Linked DNA regions of Neodiprion lecontei. The protein of the gene in region 1 interacts with the protein of each later gene in a biochemical or structural test. Links are inferred from orthologs where the notes say so. Each region holds a gene or a part of one and is shown on either strand. Other genes may lie near its edges.

Region 1 (10,691 bases):
TTATCGTGTCACATCCGCATTATGCTCGGTTAATCTACGGTGCACACGAATCGTCCAAGTTAGAGCAATAGTATGTATTAATTTATTTTACCCGTTTGCTGTCTTACATAATTTCCCTCATTGGCTCTCATAACATAAAACACATCAGTTTGACATAAACAATGTCTGAATTCAAATTATACCAAAAATTAATTTAAAAACAAAAACTAGATTGCCAAATGATCCTCAATCTATATTCTTTGCAAACAATCGAGTTCCTTCAATTTTAATTGCATATTTTCATCATTACATTGACTATTACTTACATAACTTTGACAATTAACTGGTGTTGTATATATGTACGTATAACTTATCTTCATCTGAACATCCTACCAGCGTTTGATTTATTATCTTTGAATGGTTCTATCGAAATTTTATCAAAAGTGAAACCGAGGTACAAATTCAATACAGTTATTGGTGTTCTCTAAAGTTTTGCTTTGATGTGGATATCAAAGATTTTGTCACAAATTTTGTCGTGATAACGTAACATGGATTGCTTGTTTGGTTTATCTCAGTTCAAATAAAAAAATTCCCATACACATAACATTGTCTACTTTATACATGTAAAACAATTTCATGACATTGCCACGAGCTCATTAACAAATGTGGAGACTGTGCAGCTAATACACAAATTTGATTACACTAGTAATTTCTATAAAATTCGTGTTCAAATGTTCTTGTCAAGAACGAAATTTACCTCTGCAATGACTACCAACATATCAATATTTACATTTTAACTAAAGGAGTGTACAGAAGAAGGGAAGAAGTCGAAAAAAAAAGTTTTGAGATAAGAGCAAAAAAAAAAAATGGAATTCTGAAACTTTCGAAATCCATGCAACCTTACAATATCATATTTGTAGTTGTGTTCAAGCTGAATAATATATATTACAACAAATGTTCGATTATCTGAGTTGCAAAAAAAAGATGCGATGTAAAATTTCAACTGGGTAACAGTTGCTCATTGAGCTGAATTCCGTATGTAGAATAAATTAACTTCCAACTCATAGATGTAAATTAAATTTATTTCACTCATCATAAGAATATGAAATATGTTCTATTTAAACCTTAGGATTTTTTAATTTTATGGTGTTTTCAAATACTAGAAATAAATTTCACTCGATTTGTCAGGAGAGAAGTTTTTTTTAACTAATCTGGGAAATGGTGTTAGTCGATTTAGTCCCCTTCTCTTTACAGTCCCTTATCGATAACAGAAAATCAATCCAATTTTCTTCTACAAGCACGAAATTTTGATTTGCATCAATTAGTTTGGCTGATAAAAGTAGCTCATTCTGTCACTAATCTCATTTATGAATAGTTGGCTGGACTAAAATCAGGGCGCTTTTTTCATTACCGCTTGATTTGCGTCATGCCTCATTGGTCGTCATGGTCAATGCATTGGCTTGTTAATCATGTGTTTGGTAGGAGAAAAATACAAATAAAATTAAACAGTAAGCAAGAGATATTACACTATTGGTAGCGACTAAGGTTTTTTTCTTCCGTGCGATATATTGAAAAGTATGGTTCAATTTGGGGGGATTTGAAACTGATTTGTACCGTTTCAAAAGAAAACACATCGCTACAATAGTGTTGTTAAACCTGATTTCCAGGGTAAAACTTGCGGTTAAGGAAAAAGAGGATGAGAGAATGATTGAAACTAGTCCTAATCTTAGAAAAAGGGTTTCTGAACATAGGCCCAAGTGTTTCTTTGCTTATGTAAAAGGTGAAGAATGCATGCTTTGATTGAGTACCTGCGATAATTATGCTAAAAAACTAGTTAAATCACACAGGTATTTAGCTACACTTTGCCTTACACAAATTTGTACAATTATTTGCATTCCTGTATTAAGATGTATTAAATAAAAATAATTCGTGAAAATACCACAAAAAATATTTATTCGATTTCTTCTTTTTTCTCTCTTTCTCACCTTTAAACCCTGTCTGGTTTTTAATTTTAGAGTATTGATGGATGTTCTATTTTATCTCGCAGTCAACATGGTTATCAGGCATTGTGTACACGCTTGCTTGTTAGACAACCCTTTGGTTCACGTAAAACAACAGCTGTGATCAACAATTAATATAGTGCCTGAGCCAGTTACCCACAGTCCTCCTGCAATCATTGAAGAGTTGACTCAATTTAATACACTTGTCACCTCGTACCAGGTTCGATATACCCTGGCGGCTAAAAGAAAGTAAGACTTAAATGCAGAAAAAAAAGCAGTTTATTATTCCACACTTTACGATACTGTACTTCGATGAAGATAATGTCATAACAAAATCTTACCTTGTTTGAACCCCGTTCGTTCTACTTGGAGTATTTTCATAACGTTTTGCAATTAGTACATTATTTACATCGCTTCAAATCTTATTGTTTGTAAGTACATCTTGCTATAACTTCAAGTTCACCATTTGCTAATGCTGGGCATGAAAGATTCTGCCGCCAAGATGGTTGTAGCCTTTTCTTACGATCTAAAAATACTTGAGATTCGTTTATTTCCACTTCTAGTGTATTTGTGGCGGTTTGAAATTAATGCATATGTAATAATAAATACATTTTACACGTGTTCGGCTAGTATTTAGTAAAATCACTGGATCAATTTCAAAATGAGTAGACGATTAGAAGCTGAGTTTTTAGCACAGTATGTTTTTCAACTCGCATATTTATCTTATTCTGAATTCTTCCAGCTCTGACTGAAAGGTTTATGTGCTTTGAGAAAAAGTTTACGCAATCTGGTTATAAACAGTTTACTCTTACTGCTACTTTGGAACGCTTCTCTTCTCTTCACTTTACAAGTAGTTCTTTGAGGAGTCCTTTGGTATATTCGCAGCTGACGATCATGGCACATTCACAAAAACTAGCATTAGGCATAGATCTCGGTACAACTTCGGTTAAAGTAGTCGTCGTGTCAACTGAGACTAAACAGATTGTTAGCAAGCAGTCCAAGGATACGCAGGCTAATGTGCCTAGTGATCTGGGTGTGGAAGGAAACAAGCAGGATGTACCAAAAATCCTATCCGCAGTCCACAGCTGTGTATCACGCATTCCAAAAGATTTGCTTCGCCAGGTATTGCTGAACCAATGTTTAGGAATAGATAAGAACAGTTATGTTGATGCTAATACATAGTAAACAACAGAAGAAATATTAACTTAAAACCTATTGCATAGGTGGTTAATATCGGAATTTGTGGACAAATGCACGGTGTGACTTTTTGGAAATATTCGTCGGAGGAAGATGATAAGGAACACGATGGGGTATTTAAGTTGGAAATTTCTCGAGAAAAAGTATCGCCACTTTACACTTGGCAAGATTCACGCTGCGATCCAAAATTTCTGGCATCTTTGCCAGCATCAAAAAGTCACCTAACTACCCACTCTGGTTATGGTTGTGCTACTATATTCTGGTTTGCTAAATACAAGTTAGTATGTATTCATTGTCTACATAAATCTTTAAGTATATGTATCAACAAGAATGTCGTTTAAATTTATTTAACAGCGAGTTTATTTGACCGCAGTAAGAAAAAAAAAAAATTTCTCCCGTCTTGTAGACATGAAAAGCTGAGCAAATACAATAGATGTGGTACGGTTCAAGATTTGCTGGTGGCTCTGCTTTGCGGTCATAGCGAAGTAACGATCAGTACACAAAATGCAGCGAGCTGGGGATATTTCTTAACAACAGAGTCACGTTGGGAAATAGACGTCTTGTCGCAACATGAATTTCCTACACACATTTTACCAAGTAAAATTTTGCAGCCCGGACAAGCGGCTGGCTGTCTGGAGCAAACGTGGTTCGGAATTCCTGCTGGTACACCAGTAGGTACAGTATCGTCACTGACTTATTGTTCGTTAATAAGGACTTTACTCGCTTGAAATTTGAAGTAATTTATCGAATCTTTTCGTAGGTGTTGCTTTAGGTGACCTGCAGTGCTCTGTTTACGCCTTATTAAAAGATCCGACAGATGCGGTATTGAACATTTCCACTTCAGCGCAACTTGCCTATGTTGATCCGTTTTTCAGTCCGAAACAGTCAGGTGAAACAGGTAATTACTGCGAATGCAAAAGGCTAGGAAAGTATATCTAATCCTCGATGGATCAAACATTTGGATAGGTCGATATCTTTCTTAAGTTTGGGATTTCAACAAGTCAATACAACTGTATAAATTTGTAGCAAAAATTCAACATTTTCCATATTTCGAGGGGAGGTACTTGGCAGTAGCTGCATCTTTGAATGGAGGCAATTCTTTAGCTACGTTTGTCAGAGCTTTACAACAATGGAGCATGGATTTAGGCTTCTCAATACCTCAATGTAGGTATATTTAATAAAGTAAGGAATGTGGAGTATGCATCAAAAATATATTAATTTACGTTCAATTTGTCATTCAGCTAAGGTTTGGGAAAAGTTAATAGCTTTAGGGCAAGAGGATACGGCTATTTCTGATTTGGAAATTGTGCCTACTTTGCTCGGTGAACGCCATGCTCCCGAACATACGGCTAGCGTGTCTCAAATAACACTAGACACCTTACAACTTGGCCAGATATTCCGTGCTCTTTGTTCTGGGGTAATAAAAAATCTTCATAAGTGAGTAACTACTTGAACAAACTCATTAAAAAGTTATCTTCAATCAGTATTGAATGTTCGTCGATGAACTTGATTGAAATTTTCTTGTGTCTGGGCTTTAGTTTGATTTTTGAAGGTTCATTTTTTCTCATTTCTCTAGTATGATGCCGCAGGAAGTATTGCAAAAGGCTGGAATACAGCAAATTGTTGGTAATGGATCAGGTTTGGTTCGGAATTTAGTCTTGCAGAAGGAAGTGCTGCGATGGTATCAGTTACCATTGGAAATAGGACAATCGGGAGATGCAGCTCTTGGATCAGCTCTTGCAGTAATTAATCATAACTAGAAAATTAGTGGAGCCATAGACTGTAAGCTCTGGCAAAGTGTCAGTAAATGTAGTATGACCTTTTGCGTCACAAATAAAAATACTAACAATCGTAGTCTTCGAATATTTTATATGTATGTATAATAAATTTCAGATCATTATTGCCGATAAAAAAATTGTAATGCTACTGTTTACTGAATTTAGAGTTTCATTTCCATTTGCATGCAATACCTTTAAAATACTAGTAGGAAATATGATTGTGACGGTAGTAGCGTGCATGTCATACAATATTGATGCAAAAATCATGGTTTCACAGTTGTAGAATGACCTTGCAAGAGTTGAGTCTCCGAAATATGCGGCATAGGCTTTATTCATATTCGCTGCATGCAACGCATTTAAAATAGTAGATAGTAGACTAAGAATAGAAAGATAGTAGCACTGGTGTCATAAAATGTTGATACAAAAATCATGGTTTCACAGTTTTCGAATGATTTTGCAGCTGGAGCTAAGTCTCGAAAATATGATTATGTTTTATTTTCAAACAACACTGAACTTGTAAAATTACAGTTTTCTTTATAAATGTATCGTTTTGCAACAATACGAATTTCAATCCCATGTAAACATGCATCTAGTCAGCGTCATCTGTCATTGTTAAATAAAACATCGTGTCACCATTTCACTATACAGATATAAGAAAAGATTAGCTGTGGATCTGTGTTAACTTTGCATGAAGCGAATAAGGTATAATTTTACATCAGCCAATGGAAATTACAGCACGATTTTTTCCAACTTATTTTCTAAGTTAAATGCATGCCGTAAAGTAAGAAACAAAATTTAAAATAATCATTAAAGTAGGTATAATAAATCCCAACAGTTTTGAACGTTCAGAAATGTATATCAAAGGCACTTTACTTTACATGTAAACATTTTTGAGTGATACACTATAATATTGCTGTGTGTCACAAGCTTAAGTTACACAGACTATACAAAATTCAAAACGGCGGAATGAAAAATTCTAAAATTTAATATCCAAAACTGTATCGTATTAGTAAACATGACACAGCGAGTCAATTATTGTATTACCTATATACAGAACAAAAAAAAAACAAAACGGTAACACCTAATACCGTTATTTACATAGTGAAAAACATTGTAATTTCACACTGAATAACGTCTATTTTTAATACATTTATATATTTTTTCATAATTCAGGAATATCATATTCCTTAGGAGGGTTAGTGATCCCTGTTCCATCTCCATATCGTGGCATCATCGCACACGCACAAAAGTACAGAACCATCTCTGCTCAGGCTAGTTTGCCGTATTGGCGCGGTGCACCGAGGATGTTCCAATGTGCAACATCGAGCTTGGCCTGGTTCTTCAACCTCCAGATCCCACACATAGGTACGACCAGCTTGGTTACCAAGTGCTATTGTCCTTTGCCAGAAATCCATGGAGAATCGTATAAACCATATATCGCATTCCTTGAATTCAAAGCGATGCAGTACAGTGGCGCTTGTTTCGCCGTTACGAAGTTGGGTATCTTCTAAACGTCCAGGTTTCCAGCATACGATACAATTTTCGCAAGATTTACTAAGTATGAAATCTCCGTACCATTTAACGCAGTCCACATAATTGCGATGCACATCTCTTGTTGTAAAGTCGGGAAAATGTTGCAGAATCGAGTCAAAAGGTCTCCCGTTGCGGGTCGGATTGCAGTAATACGACTGCTTGATAGCATCCAGCATTTCCCCTTTATCGAGGGACCAAAGTTTCAATGCGTGATCCATTCCGCAAGATATTATCCGTTGTCCCATCATATCAAAGTCCGCGCTCAAGACTTCGTCCCTGTGACCTTCGACACCTCCAAATATTGCTATGCAAACATCAGTCTTAATATTCCATAAACGTAGAGCGTGATCCTTCGAAGCTGAAAGAAGGATATTTGGGTCCTTCGGATGAATTTTCAGCTCATTAATTGCGTGACCGTGACCAATGTAATGCTTAATGCACGTCATAGTGACAGTACTAATTACTCTAATTACTCCTCGAGAGCCTGCAACGGCTAATAATGGTTTTCCTGAATCATCGTATGTCCATACACATGTGTAGAAATTTTCTTCACTGTCAGGATCAGCGTAACATTGTCGAAGCCTGATATTGTTTCCCTCGGGGCATTCGTAAATGCTGACTCTGTTACTTCCTACTGATGCAAATATCATTGGTTCACCTTCTTTGAGATGGTGATTGAACTGAGCGCCAAACAAAGGCTGCCCGTGGTCTTCCTTGACACTACAACAGTATTTATACATTGGTTTGTCATTCAGAGACTTGTTCTTTGCCGTTTTACTTCGCCGTCTTCCCTTCTTCTTATAACGAGCACTGCGAGTCGGAGTATCGCTTCGATGTGTACCTGCAGTCGAATTGCTGCCAATACTACACTCGGTTTCGTCACTATCATTGTCAGTGTCTTCTTGACTCGAAGTATAAGTCTGGCACTGAGGTTTCGCACCAGCTTTCTTCATTATATCTTCCGTCTGTTGATAATCTGAAAGTACACATATCCAATAATTACAAACATCGGACTAATTGGTAGATACTCATTGAGGAGTTCAAAAAGTTTCAATTTGCTGTTTTAGTATTTAGTAAGAAACATAAAATGGTATTCAAATATTATTTATCCAGTCTTGGGAAGTTTTTTGTGGTGATAAATTTCATGGAATTATTTTTTGTAGCTTGTTTGAATAATTATTTCACTTTGTACATGTGACTCACTTGAACTGCACATTTATGCCACAGAATCATCGACAATGTACATTGCTGTATGTTGATCACGGATGTTTAACAATGGCAATCCGCTTCTCTGACCGAGAACTGTGCAAGATAAATTGATAATTTGATCACCTAAATAGAGACAGTCCTCCGGTACCTAAATGAAAATTTGTATTCAGTTTTTCACCTTCTTAAAATATTTCTAATTTTATTTGACAAATCGACATTGCGTAGTATTTAGACATTTTGAAATGCGTAAACTCACATTAATATTTGAATTGAGAAGCCGAAGATTGTACTTGTCGCAAACTTCCAAAATCTGATCTTGCGTCACACCCATAGCATTTGACGATATGTTGTTACCATTTACTAAACAGGTGCTACTCAACAATATAAAACTCTGATCAACTAGCAGAATATTCTTCTCAACCTGAATGAATAGGAGAATAAAAAAAAAGTATAGGTAATTACGATTATGACGAAAAACAGATGCAGGTTTTTTTCTCTATCTTAAAACCATTAATACACGACGAAAAAATAATTTTTGTCGTTAAATACCCACCTCCTTCAAAGATAGCGTTAGCCGAGAGTCGATTGCAAATACGATAAAATCGACGTGAAGATTTTTATGAGTGGCAATAACTTCGGCGACAGACTCGCACCGATGTATGAGAATTTGTTGTTTTTTCCCTGATGCACTATTCAGCAATCCTTGAGATATTTTCTCGCAATATTCGGCGGTGGAAACGATCTGCGAGATTGAAGTTGTGCGTTGTTCCGTTAGGGATGATTGTGGTGCGTCAGTATTTAAAAAAATTTTCTTAAGTGAGAAAAAGAACCAGTAACGAAAGCGTAAAGCCTTACCAAAAACGAAATGACCGCGAAATTTTTTCGTAATCCATAACGCAAGACCTGCGCCATTAGAAACCAAACATCCGACGTTTGCCACCGGCAACTGCCATGAAATAGACCGTTGTATCGTATCCGTCCTGCATATTACAAATCTAACCTATAAGTTATAATCTATCACGAGCACTTCGTCACTTTTGCGCCTTCAGAGATCGGGTTCGCTCTGTTTCTCTACCGACTGCTTTAGCTATTAGCAATAAACATAAGCCTACGTGATGCTATGGCAGTGCATAACGGTAAACACTATGTTAGGCTCACAAGTCACAGCCTTTGGCGACATCTACGAAACTCGGGTGGAGTCATGTCAGTCCTTACCTTTGGACGTGGTTGGTTAGTTCGATAACACCAATCTCCACCACACGGAATGAATTTTATGGAATCGCCAAGCGAGGCATTCAAACGAAATGCGATCAGTCTTATCTTCGGAACCCGGGGAATGAATTTCCGCGAAATCGGCGTATCTCAGTAATAAATTTCAACAATAGATCTCTCTCTGGCCTTCTGTCAACAGTTTCGTATACCTTATATGTATGTTATAAATTTGTCGAAAACAAAAAATACGACCAGTCTGAACACAAAGAAATTTTGATTGTACATACTAAAAGAGAATATTGCACTCTTCCTCTGCACCTTGAAAATATACAGAACGGTACCTATCGTGTAGACATTTCTATAATTTTGAACGAGTGTTTTTTCTTGCCCCCAAGGAATAGTGCAGATTGGTTATCCGAATTTACGATTATCCAAACGGTACCCAGTTCCAATTAATTGAGTAATCGACGTTCTACTGTATACACGACACTATACAAATAAAAATTTCATTGTTTCAAAAAGTGATATTTTACAACTTTTGTTTGATAATAGGCACTGAAAAGTATTACATGATTTTAGAAGAAGGAACTGTTCTACACGAGAATAATTTCGCAGATGAAGGTCCCTGTTGTATCGCCGGCATCTTCTCGAAGTCCTTCAACGTTTAGATATGTAAATTTTTTCTCTACGTCTTGAGGGTGTGCACTTGGCGCCCATGGTAATGAGGTGAGGGGTAGACCTGGTGAAAAAATATTAATGAAGTATATCTGGAATAATTGCCATTTCAAAGTATGTAATATCTTAGTTATTATTATGATAGCTATATTCAATATACCAATTATAATCTCAGTGGCTTTTCGTTCACCATTATTCCATAATTTTCCTTGCAGTCTTGAAAATACTTGCAGAGATGGTGGGAATAAAATAATGTTCAATAAAGATTATTATTTACCAGTTCTGTCACTCGTCCATTCGACGCCGTCGTAAGTTTTGTGAATTCCCAAGTATGGCTGAACTTTGCCGTTCGTCACAGAGTATGCGTAACGAATCTTTTTGAAAGAATCGGGACTTGCCAGGTTAGCACCCTCCAGAATACAACGTTTTCTAGCTTCGTTCCATGTCGGTGCGGCGACGTCAGTCCACTTGTAAGCCATTCCGACATCCGGGAAGGCTACATATCCTATGGGCAACGTCTTGGGTTCTGATACACTGACAGAATTTTGACCTGGAACTGAGTTAACGAAAAATTGAAGCATGTTTAAACGAGAGAGGGTAGCGCTTTGTTGATAAATTTCTTCATTGCGATTTCATACCTGAGGTGAAGTTTTCGTAAATACAATTCGTGGTACCAACTAGGTGACAGAAGAGTTGCAAGGGTAACGTAACAAGTAAATTCGACATCTTCGGAGTTCTTCCTTCAGGCTATATTCCTCTTCGTTGTCTTACGGTTGGCTATGTCCGGGTAGGAATGTGCCAAGCTATACTCTCCGTCTGCGGACGAGTGCGTATCTCGTTAGTTTATTTCGCCAGTAACTACTAACTGAACGGCCTTGATTCGTCGATTCGACTGCGTATACGGATTTCCCCCTGCCTAATGAGGCTGGTTTACCCCTCTTTCGTTGGATTCATCGTACAATCATCTTTCAAGGAAATTTTATTTCCTGGAAACTAGTATATCTAGTCGCTGGGTTCACAAAACATAAATATTTGCATGTCGTCATCTATGGATGCGATGGATGCTGCAGTGTTAACTACGTTCACGATAATGTACATAGTATAAAAC
Region 2 (11,747 bases), on another chromosome or scaffold:
ACTTACATGCAAAACTCTTCAAACTGCTTTTTATAGCTAATTTACTGTAAAATGAGAACTTCATTTTGTTTTCATAAAGTTGATGATTGTAAGTAAGTTTTTGTAAAGTTGATGATTTCAGGAAAGAACTTGAAAATTGTAAAGAAATCTAGGGTAATATCATTAGACTTTGGGAAACATATTCGTGCAAGTAAAAAATTAGTGCAATGAAGTTTTGAAATCAAGGAATAGAATTTTTCAACACTCAACACAGCACAGCGATTCACCATTTTAAATTCTAGTCATGAAACATACAAAAGAAACATATATTCGAAAAAACTAATGCAAAAAGTTTTTCTTGAACTCTGTGACAATGGATATAGAAAAGTATGAAGCTGAACTTGGTAACTTTAATGCAAAACATTGGGACAAAACATCATTCTTTCGCGATTTTATAGTGACTGTAAATTAGTTAAGTTTTCAAAATATGAATACGTGTTGTCTTATTGTGATTTTCTAGATTTCAAACATTCCTGCAATTGTGAAATAACGATTTTCCGAAACGTTAGACATTACAATAATGTTACTAACTTCAGCTTCATGTTTCAGTCTCGTTATTTTCACATAAACTTTCTTTGTCTATTTGTAATTTTGTTGATATAGAACCGGACATAGGAATGCCTATATGGGAAGCTCAGAAGTACTTCAAACAATTAATATCTGCAGTTGAATACCTGCACAGCAGAGGTGTGGCGCATAGAGACCTGAAACCAGAGAACTTGCTTCTCGATGATAATGACAATTTGAAAGTAACCGATTTTGGTATGGCAACGGTGTATAGATTGAATGGCAGAGAACGCTGCTTGGACAAGAGATGCGGAACTTTGCCGTACATGGCTCCTGAAGTACTAGATCGGCCGTATCATGCAGAACCCGCGGATATCTGGTCTTGCGGAATTATCCTTGTCGCCATGTTAGCCGGAGGTAAATTTACCAGTTATGAAAAATGCACTTGATAGTTTGGAGAGGAAAAAAATTTTTTAAACCATACCCTCACCGGTTTTCTCTTATCATTCATATTTCTAATGCTTAACTTACACTCCTTAGTTTCTAAATGGTCCGTATATGAAATATAGAACTGCCATGGGATCAGCCCTTGGCAGAGTGTCCTGAATATATAGCGTGGAAGGAGGGAAAACTTACACTCACGCCTTGGAGTAAACTGGACAATACTTCACTTTCGCTAGCCAAAAAAGTTCTCAATCATTTACCGTCGACAAGGTTTACTTTGAAACAAATCAAGGAACATCATTGGATGCTTGCTAAATACCACGAAGGTGAGAAAGACTGTAATTCATTAGTTGTTCGAGTTGTAAAAGTTTATTTTTAAGTGAATTGAATACAATATTACTTGTATGACTTTACATTGACTGGATTTGAAGAAAGCAGCAGGAAAACTAATCCGGTGTTTCCTCAGTCAGGTACTGAGTGACTCTGAGTAAATAGTCTATACTCAAAGCAACTCGGTACCCAACTATGTGAACACTTTATACTTCGGCCTATAGAGCTACTCATTGTTAATTGTTGACTGTTGTGCACAAAGTAAGTAACTCACAATGTCTGGAATCAACTATTTATTTAATTTAGACTTATTAATATTTTTAAACATTATTAACTGATCGAAGACACCTGTGCAATGACTCTGACTGTTATATTTTTAGCTGGCATGAATCATCGTTTGTTTTTTCAGTGAGTTGCGATACCATGAAGGAAGATTTCAAATAGCTATTGCCTTTTCTTTGGTGATACAGCTGTATGATTTCAATTAAAGATCATAAAGCTAGATTACCAAAGCAAAGAACATCGGCTTACTCAACCAATTCTTTGGATTATCCGCCATCACGTTGATCTGCACAGTTCAGAAGAAGAAAATCGAATTTCTGTTGTCCTGTCTTTGGTTATCTAGCTGTATGACTTTTCTACTTCATAAAGCTAGAATACCGAAGTCAGGACGACAGCTAAGATCGTCTAATTGTCCTCCTTGCAAATCCAGAGCTAAACACTCTGACTAATTCGCTAAATCATCGATACAGAGATTAAATTACCATCATTTTGATTGTTAATAAATTGATAATAATTTGAGCATGACACAATTCAAAAGAATTTACATATCGATTGTGGGATTGCAGATGGGAAATTGGTGGGAAGTGACGTGGTGGATGGAAATGTACCAAAGCGACGGTGTTCAGCGAATGGCAACGATGTGTCTAGATTCTGTTTGTCGCAACCTGAGATGCCCGGTATTGAAATAAACAAGATGGACTGTATGAACTTTGAACAAAGGCCAGGATTTTCTTTTTCCCAGCCTACAGACGTAGAGGATTTATTGCTATGCACGCCATTACAAACCACTCAACATACGCAGAGCGCAAGTCAGGTGAGAAAGTCGACAAAATGTTTCATTTTTAAAGTTATAGAAAAACTATAATTTCAGAAAACTATCCTTGAATTAATTGAAATTTTTTATTATCTGACAGAACACCTTTCAAAAATTAGCACGCCGTATGACTAGATTTTTCGTAAAAATGGACGGTGACAACTTTGCAAAGAAGCTGTTATCTGTTTTGGAAAATGAGGGATACACGTGTCGAGTCAGCGAAGTTGGTGTTGTAAGTTATTGCACTACTCTAAATAAACCTTTTGGTAACTTGAGTCAAGTTTGAGATAAAAGTTAAAAGTTACACTGATCATAGATTACCTACAAATTCTAACAAATCGCATCACAAGAAATTTTTTTCATCAAAATAATTGAAATTCTGCTAATATCTTCTTTCAGATCACAGTTGCAACTGTTGATAGACGGAAAATGCCTCTTGTTTTCAAAGCAAATATCGTTGATATGGATGGGAAAATACTCGTAGACTTTAGATTGTCCAAAGGATGCGGTATCGAGTTCAAACGAAGATTTGTTAAGATCAAAACTGATCTTGGAGACTTTGTTTCCAAAAGTACGGTTTCGTGGCCCATTGCTATTGCGAATCACGACATTGTGTCACAATCATGCTAGATTGACAAAGTAATTTTATATTAACAATATTCAATAATATACATTCTATTTTTCTACTGAATTTAAAATTTGATCTTTAATATTATACTCTTGATTATTTGGAGCTAGAATTCAACTTGCGTTTGTAACATTGAAAATCTACACAACACCTGTATGGAATAGCAATGGATTAACGTTGATTTCTGACGAGGTTTATTGAATAAAAGACGAGACAATCGTTCCTCTTACTGTCTTTATACACTTAACAATAGATATGAAAAATTTGTATTGAACATTTTGATGAATATACTGATGAACAATGATGACTGACGCTGATTGCAAATTTACCTTTCACTTGTTACTTCGATATATTATTATGAATTCAATACTTTGCTCCTTGACACTGAATTTCTGAATAAACGCAAATTACATCACATGTCTATTATATCACAAAATGTATACTTCTCATTAATTTTTAAAATATATTTACCTGAAATAGGAAAATTCGTATTATTTCAACAATTGTTTACCTCCGAAAGGTCCAAAGGAGATTTCAGTACGAAATATTACGCTATATTTGATTACTCTATTAAATCCGTTTAAAGACGAGTGGAACTTAAAATTGTCGACAGATCAATTATTTATCTCTTATTACTTTATTTACATATTTCACTTCACCGACGACGATACAATCATGGTTTATATTTGAATAGGAAATTTTTGTTGAAAACTTGGACGATACCACGCAAATATATTAAACCTCATCAGGTAAATAGTTCACGAATTTAGTCTGTATTCTTAAGATAGCTATTCCAGATTGGTGACAGCAGAATTCATTTGGACAATTAGTTTCAGTACTTTAAAGGTATCCAGATTTATAAAGTTCGCAATTCTACATTAAGAATTTTAAAATCGGATTTATTATTGCGAATTACTTAGTCGTGTGCATGTTCTAGAAAAATTTAATTCCAAATTAGTTGCTTTATCCTTTTGAGAAGGTCTTTCGGATACAGGAGAATTGATCGTTCATAACCGCTGATCTGAGATAGCTGGATTCCGTTAAGTCTATAATTATACCAAAAGAGTAGGCATCGGTTTTTTCCCGGGCCAAGCTTCCTTTGCGTACTTTTTTTTCTTAGGCTCTAATGAATGTGGCTCCGAAGATCCTGATATATCTGGAATGTGGGGCACCTCTGTTTGCATTTGGTGCGGCGCCATTTCTACCTCGGGAGCCGGGTTTGGTAAAGCTATACCAAGGCGAGAAGTCAGTGATGTCAGTGCTGTAGAAAACGGGTTACTAGACATCGACGAATGTGCGTTAGAGAACTGTTCTGGAGGTAAATCATGGTAGAGTTGTGGCATAACAGAACTTGGCTGAAGATGTTTCATCATATTGTGATGATTTTCCTCCGATAACGATATAAGGCCACCCTCCATGCGCATTCGCTAAAAGAAGAAAATATTAACAAATACTAATTAATCTCGACGACAATGAACTGAAAAGGCTGTTTGATTGGTCAATCGACAAAAAGAATAATTGAAAGGGTGAACGATTCCATTAATCGAAGTCTGATTAAATGCGCAGCCCTAATTACTACTATCAAATATTTTATTCTATTAGTTCCATTTATAGTAGGTAAGCATTACAAAATCGAGAACACAACTCGCCAAGAAAAAGTCTGAATTTTTTTAGGAACTTTTTTGTTGAAGCGCAAGGTATTCAGTGCAAGCACTACATTCCTAGTTAGAAAGAGATGGATATTAGCCGCAACTACCTCCATCTCCCTCGCACTTGCACAACGCAATTTCAGCACCATATGCACAGTCCATACTCTGTGTTTACGCTTATATTAACGTGAAGAGAGATTTGGAAGTCTCTCTTCTCCTTTTATCTTTGATTGATCGTTGGGAACTTAGGAAGTGATACCAAGGAGATTGACTTACTTTACTGGGAACAACAGTCGTTTGTACAAGATTCCGAAATCTACCAACAGATGGATCGACATCTTCAGGATTAATAACTTCCTCGTCGTCGTTGAATGTGATGCCCTTCTTTTTTCTCTTTCTCGTCGCTTTATGAACGTCATCATCCGTTATTCCCAACATCGAGATGCGTCTGTTATGGGCTGTATTAAATTCCGTCAAATTCTGTAGGAGTAAATTTTGAATTAGAAGCATGCTTAGTTATGACATTCAAAAGTTCAACTGCATTTCACGAACCATATCTTTATATACCGTATCGGTCAAGATTCTGAAATAATTCTATAAATACGTAGAACGATAATTGATTATGATATAACCAAAGTTCAAAATGCGTTAGTTATACAGCAAAAAAATTTTTCAATAACCTTAAAAAAACGTAGAAGTAATACAAACTTCATGTTCACTATTCACTAAAGATTATTATTTGGCATATCTTACATCAAGCTCAGTTTCAGTCTCCGGAAGCCCAAGTAAGCCACCGGCGTCATTATCTTCGGAAGATTTTTCTAGTTCTTCAATTATCGGTCTTGCCCCAGATTGCGGTCTCTCTCGAATAATGTAGTATCTTGTGGATGCGCCAAAATGAAAAGTACTGTCGATTGGTAACTGAGTCGGTTTGTTGGGATCTAGCCGCATATTTCCAATGTAAGTCCCATGTGCTGCAATTGAAAATTGTTAAGGCAAATTAATGAAGTAAAAGCTGAAGGTGGTTGGTTGACCAAAAATATATACTTTTCATTCATTTTATTACGAGATAGTCAGTCGTAATTTCTTTAGATATGCAAACAGAAAATGCTACAATTATAAACGAAAGCTTGGATATCGATGCTTTGTTTCAAATTGCTGCAAATTAATTAAAAGTGTAGTAGGTTCGTTTTCACTCTAGAATGGCTCATTTCACTAGGACATTTTTCTGGGATTTCCACAAACTCATAGAAATACTTTTTTTTAAATCATGTTGGCATCGCTAAACATTTAGCTTTACAAAATTGCGCAGATATTAATTGTGATCAAAAAATTACAATATTGAATTGACTACTAAAAAACAATAATCTTCTGAAAGGCCATCATAGAGCGAATTTGAACCTGTTAGATTTTTAACTGTTTCGAAGTTATTTTAAATGAAGCATTGATATTGAAGATTTTATCTGAAATTCCAGGATTTTCAATTTTCGCTTTTTTAAAGAAACCTTTGTAGTTTACGAATATAATAGGTTAATACATTCACCATGCACGACTATCTCATGATAAAATTTAAAACAACTATTGATTTGGACAATGGAACTCCTGAAATTATCAATACATGACATAATTAACACCATATGTGATACTCACTGCTACCAAGATCTACTAGAAACGCTCTGTTCAAATGCTTGTGGTAAACTAATGCTGCATGAACTCGGGAACACGAGGCGTGATCAATGCAGAAGTCGTTCATTTGCTGGTTGCGGCCGAATAAATAGCACTTCTTTTCATCCACCATCAATTTCTGGGAAGAGTTTAATTCATTTATAGAGTGATATACTTCTCAGTGGCTCTAAGAGTCTCAAATGGCGTTATTCGTCAGTGATATAGTGAATATGGTGGCTAAAACCACAAGAGTAGAGAAATCCTGCTGCGAAAAGAACTAATATTTGTATAATAATCAAAGAAAGCTTTTATAAACAAAAAAGTTCTTGAGTTTACCGGTTTCTTTAAAAACGTGAGAATCGACACTTCTTGAGAAGTAAATTACTGAAACACTAAATGCTTCTAGTAGGCGAATAAGGATATTACCTGGATTAATTTATCATCCTTTAATACATCCAAATGCAAACCAACCGGAGGTTTGCCAGCCCTGAAAACATAACCTGTTTACAATGTTTGTCATTCTGGTGTTTTGGGTCGGAAGATGCTTGTTATGAAAAATATTTTAGCTCAAATCATTTGTAATTCGGATACTATTGTATGAATTCCTATAATGTAATAATTTCTCGTAATAACATACCAGCTAGGTACTTCGTAATGATTCGCCATTATCTGTCATTTAGGTTGCGTACTTTTAATAAAACATCTATAACCTCAGTCTTCCTACGAATTTAGTAACCATTCTTAATTTCAAAGGAGATAAAGCGAATTTCTGACAAAAATATTTCGGGAAACAAACAAGGGCTGAGTCGATTACAGATTTTTAAGTCGACATTAAAAATAGCTCGGCAAGAACACGAATTAATAGAAAACAACTAATCAGTAGCTAGCTTCAAAGGGCGAAATACTCGGTAGGTAAGGGTAGAGTCCTTACAAGCTGCAGCGACCACTGAACTCTAGTACTATATAGAGTTGGCCTGCGACCTTCGAATGTGTTAAAAAATTTTATGCCAAAAAATTTCTCCCCAATTGCTTTTAATTGCTCTCTATTCTTTATTATTTGCTCCCATGCGGTTTTCGAGAAAATCCTAAAAAACGTTGCAGGTACCGTGAGTGGGTAACATTTCCAGTAAAGTGGCGCCATATTCAAACAAATATTGGTGCCCAGACGTTCTTTATGCCACCGAAACAGGATAAACCTTATACTGTACATGCTCTAAGGGATGAGCTTTGAGCTGCTCCTTAATTACTCCTATATATTATCTTAATTACTCATTGTTACTGTATTATTTTGATAAATTGCTTCTGCATTGTTTGCGAATGAATCAGAAACAAATGAAAAGAGGGTTTTCTCAAGGCGAAGTATGGCCGAATTCACTTTGATATATCTCTTAGACGAATTGAGGTGCGAATAATCTAATAATTTCCCCGCAAACCTCGCAATTTGCTCCTTCATAGTTTTCGTTAAAACTGGAAAAACAATGATGCATCTGACTTGTAGGTTATGTGGACGAGCGGTGAATTCGAAATTGTAGCGAAACAAAAAGATGCCGATGCGCTCCAGTAGGACTGGATAAAATTAGTAAAAATTACCAAATATATTACTCAAAAAAGTATCTTTAACTACCGATTCTATAGTATAAAATGCAGAAAATTCTGCTTCAATGCAAAAATAATTCAATCGGTAAGAGTAGTCAGTCAATGATGAAATCTGTCCACACCAAAATAGAATTATACACGGTATATGTATCGTATCAAGTTATTTAATATTCTATAAATACAATTCACACGGAATAAATATTGTATCGCATTATGTAATATTCTAATGAAACAAGTGTGATGATAATAAAAGTTAATGTGCTGTTTAGGTGATTATGTACACATTAATTTTTCTATGCTGCATATTTCTCGGAGGGTTCACCGGAGATTGAGGCGGGCGTTTATGGAAAATAACAGTTTTCAGTCAACGACTTTAGTCAACGAGCCAGAATTATCTATATAAATAGAGATAACAACAAATAGAGTGGGTAAGTGAATGATACAGCCAGTTAGTGATAAAAACAAAGACAAAAAATCAAGGTAGTACCCCTACCTACCTTTTTAGAAAATTGAATAAAGTTACAAATGAAAAATTGCAACATTAACGTAAGCAGTTTTGAATAGTCTATCATTCTGATTCTCTTCTGCGCATGTGTAAATGTATATGCAACAAGGATAGATAGAGGTATACTTCAATTTGCTTTCCCTTTTTATTCGCACAACCTTTGTACTATGCTAACCCCTGCATCTTGCCCACTCCATTTGTTATTATCTCTATGGTTATTCAACTTGATTGAGCCACAGTTATCATTGGACAAACAGCATGTATTTTAAAACAGAGTACACAACTACATTCGTAATGAAGATCTGTAAATCGTGTCAAATAAGCCAATCAGAACTGACAATTGAATCGCAATCGTATGTTTATCATGTTTAATCCCTGTTCATCCTTATCCATACGGCATGTTTGTCGTGCTGAAACAACAGTAACGGCAGAGGTGATGTGAATTCCTTGAATGTCACACACGATTCGAGCAATTCCTTTTTGAAATACGATCGCATCGAGACATTTTCATAATGAGAATTTTGAATTTGTTTATTACAACACTAATAGTAGCTACGGGTTGCTTACCGGCGAATTCGATTCAAACATTTACTAAAACCACTCCACTCGTTGTAACAACATGGGATTACTGGAACGCCACAGACAAAGGTACAACCAACGATGAAGAAATTTCTTACTTGAATTTTACGTTACATTAAGACTTACTTATACTTGAATTTTGTGCTTTTTTATTCATTATTCGCTTCTAATTGTTTCAGAATAAAACTTTTCTCCAAATAGTGTAACAGCACTGTGAAATTCGACTTGAAATTTTACGTTTTATGTTTATCTTGACAAATGTAAATATGTTTGTGTTGTTGGTGAATATTAATAATTGGCATTCTAATCATTTATCTTCACATTATTGTAATTAATCGGTTTTAAGTTAGTTTCTACCCTTTTTTTGAAAAATCCCATATGACTCAAAAGTTTAATAAACATCTCTAACAAAGATTTGCTTTGTTGATTTTTGGGCTGCAACGATTATACTGCAATGATAAAATACTTTCAAGTTATATTTATCCTATAATGCAGTATCAATATAATGCAATGCATCTTAACAAACAATAAACAGGACTTTCCCAGTGTCTTATCTTAAACTCTTATTAGGGGAAATATATCCATGAAATAACCATAATCTTACTTTATTTTCAGCATGGAATATTCTGTACACAAAAAAACGTAGCTCGCTAGATGCTATAGAAATAGCATGCAGTTTGTGCGAGCAGCTTCAATGCCGGACGACAGTTGGATTTGGCGGGAGTCCCGACGAGATGGGCGAGACAACGTTGGACGCAATGATAATGGATGGGTGATTATGACATTTTGGTATAAATATTGATCATTAGCATATTATTCACTGATTTTAGAATGAATGAAAGTCTGAATCAAAAATTCGAAAAAGAGAGAAAATATTAAAAAAAATAACAATAGTTATATATAACTATTGTTATTTATAGTTATAGAATAACACTAGTTAATCCTCCACAGTAATCCCGGGTCTTTTGAGGTATAACCCAAATTTTATCATTAAATATCTCCAAAATGCAAGAAGGGCTGATGGCCCCACTCTCTAAAAAAAGTTATTGGTAGTAGGGAATCGAAAGCCAAGAGATGACCAAGTCCGGCAGTTTTTTGTTAACTAGTAGAGAGTGCAAATTGATTGTGTGCCCTGAAAGACTCAGGAGTTCCACGGTGTTAGTGTTTTGCAATAGTAAGTAAATTTTATTTGTTCAATTTTTTCGACTATTTTCAAGTGTTTATCAATCAAGGTTTCTTGAGTTACTTACATAAATACGGTGTCATTTATGAAAATATTCTTCGAAATATAAGGTATAGCATATGGAGAGGAAACTGAAGAGCATATTTCCGATAGTCAGGATGCTAATGAAAATTACCTCATATTCGAATGATTATGTAAATAGTTATTATACTTTAATAAACTACTTTAATATTAATTGCATAAAACCACACTCCCTCTTTTATATCCACATGGTAGCAGAGTGTGGTTTGTGGTTTAAATTTAAAGTAAAAGAATATACACGCAACCAAGAAGATAAAGTGTTAATTTAACTAAAAATGGAAAGAACTGTGAAATAAGTGATGAAGCGCGAGTATAGATCAAATTCATTTTGAAGTAAAACACATGTTTTCGTGGATAAAACAGATAGTGAATCGAGAACACGAATTAAAAGTCAAAGATATTAAGTTAGAAAATCAAACAAGAAATCAAATTCGTCAAGTGTATTTGGAAAAAGCTAAGAAAGTTGTTATTCTGAAAATTTAATATACGAAAATATAAGTATAAGTGAATCGAAAATGGCTAAGCAAGTTAAGATGGAAGATATTATGATACCCATTTTTGACGGGGCAAATTATTCAAGTTGGAAAATCAGAATAATGTTATTACTGGAATACAAAAGGTGTAAAGATTCAGCAGTTAGTAATATCACCAATAAGTTTAAAAATAAAGAAGAAGATTGGATAGAAATGGATTTAAAAGCAAGAACGCTAATAGTCAGCTCAATCTCTGATAAACAATTAGAATACGTTGGTGAATGCAAAACAGCATTAGAAATGATGACAAGATTTGATAAAATGTATACGACACAATCAACAGCACTGCAAATAATGTGCAGAGGAAAAATCGATGATATTAGATTGACAAATTACCAGTCAATAGAAGAATTTTTTGTAGAGTTTGAAAAATTAACAAATGAATTTAAAGCAGCTGGAGGAAAGATAGACGAATCAGAAAAAATGAGATATTTGATCAAAGCTTTGCCACCAAGCTACAGTTATATTGGCGACTTTCTTGATGTAATACCAGAAGAGCAAAGAACCGTTGATTACTTGAAGTCCAAAATAAAGGAGAAGAATTTGAATTCGAACGACACAAACAATAAAAGCAATGTCAGCAAATTCGGTGCAAAAACAAAAGATAAGTGCTACAACTGTGGTATACGAGGTTATCACAAGAAAGACTGTAAAAAGGGACAACACAACAACAGAGGCAGAGGTTCTCAAGTCAATCAAGGACAGCGAAGTCAACAGCGAGGCTATTACAGAGGTGGAAATCACCGAGGTCGAGGCAGAGGACAAAGTCAATCCAGAGAAGACTATTCCAGCAATCAACAGGGCAACTACTCATAGAAGGTATTGGCCAGAAATTATGAAAACAGTAGCATATTTAAAAAATCGTACAATTGCAAATACGGAGGAGAATAAAACTCCCTATGAAATATTTAA

Evidence for each region.
Region 2: the proteins of polycomb protein eed-B (region 1) and nuclear inhibitor of protein phosphatase 1 form a complex in vitro, tested with the Homo sapiens proteins (2 studies listed by BioGRID). The link is inferred for Neodiprion lecontei from reciprocal best matches to the Homo sapiens genes EED and PPP1R8.

Annotation. Positions count from the first base shown.
Region 1 is NC_060263.1:6,599,392-6,610,082, reverse strand, and holds polycomb protein eed-B, read right to left. Parts: upstream 8,805-10,691; 5' UTR 8,552-8,804; intron 8,439-8,551; 5' UTR 8,250-8,438; intron 8,118-8,249; 5' UTR 7,953-8,117; intron 7,845-7,952; 5' UTR 7,704-7,844; coding exon 7,691-7,703; intron 7,464-7,690; coding exon 6,151-7,463; 3' UTR 5,790-6,150; downstream 1-5,789. Other genes in the region: sedoheptulokinase, read left to right, coding at 2,739-3,101, 3,203-3,453, 3,583-3,851, 3,937-4,074, 4,203-4,340, 4,418-4,613, 4,753-4,936. UniProt on the Homo sapiens protein: Polycomb group (PcG) protein. Component of the PRC2/EED-EZH2 complex, which methylates 'Lys-9' and 'Lys-27' of histone H3, leading to transcriptional repression of the affected target gene.
Region 2 is NC_060261.1:17,294,220-17,305,966, reverse strand, and holds nuclear inhibitor of protein phosphatase 1, read right to left. Parts: upstream 7,240-11,747; 5' UTR 7,025-7,239; coding exon 6,996-7,024; intron 6,859-6,995; exon of another isoform or gene 6,846-6,858; coding exon 6,785-6,845; intron 6,498-6,784; coding exon 6,344-6,497; intron 5,668-6,343; coding exon 5,447-5,667; intron 5,174-5,446; coding exon 4,970-5,173; intron 4,472-4,969; coding exon 4,097-4,471; 3' UTR 3,108-4,096; downstream 1-3,107. Other genes in the region: serine/threonine-protein kinase grp, read left to right, coding at 643-963, 1,116-1,316, 2,169-2,416, 2,517-2,648, 2,816-3,046; N(4)-(Beta-N-acetylglucosaminyl)-L-asparaginase, read left to right, coding at 8,972-9,107, 9,654-9,810. UniProt on the Homo sapiens protein: Inhibitor subunit of the major nuclear protein phosphatase-1 (PP-1). It has RNA-binding activity but does not cleave RNA and may target PP-1 to RNA-associated substrates. May also be involved in pre-mRNA splicing.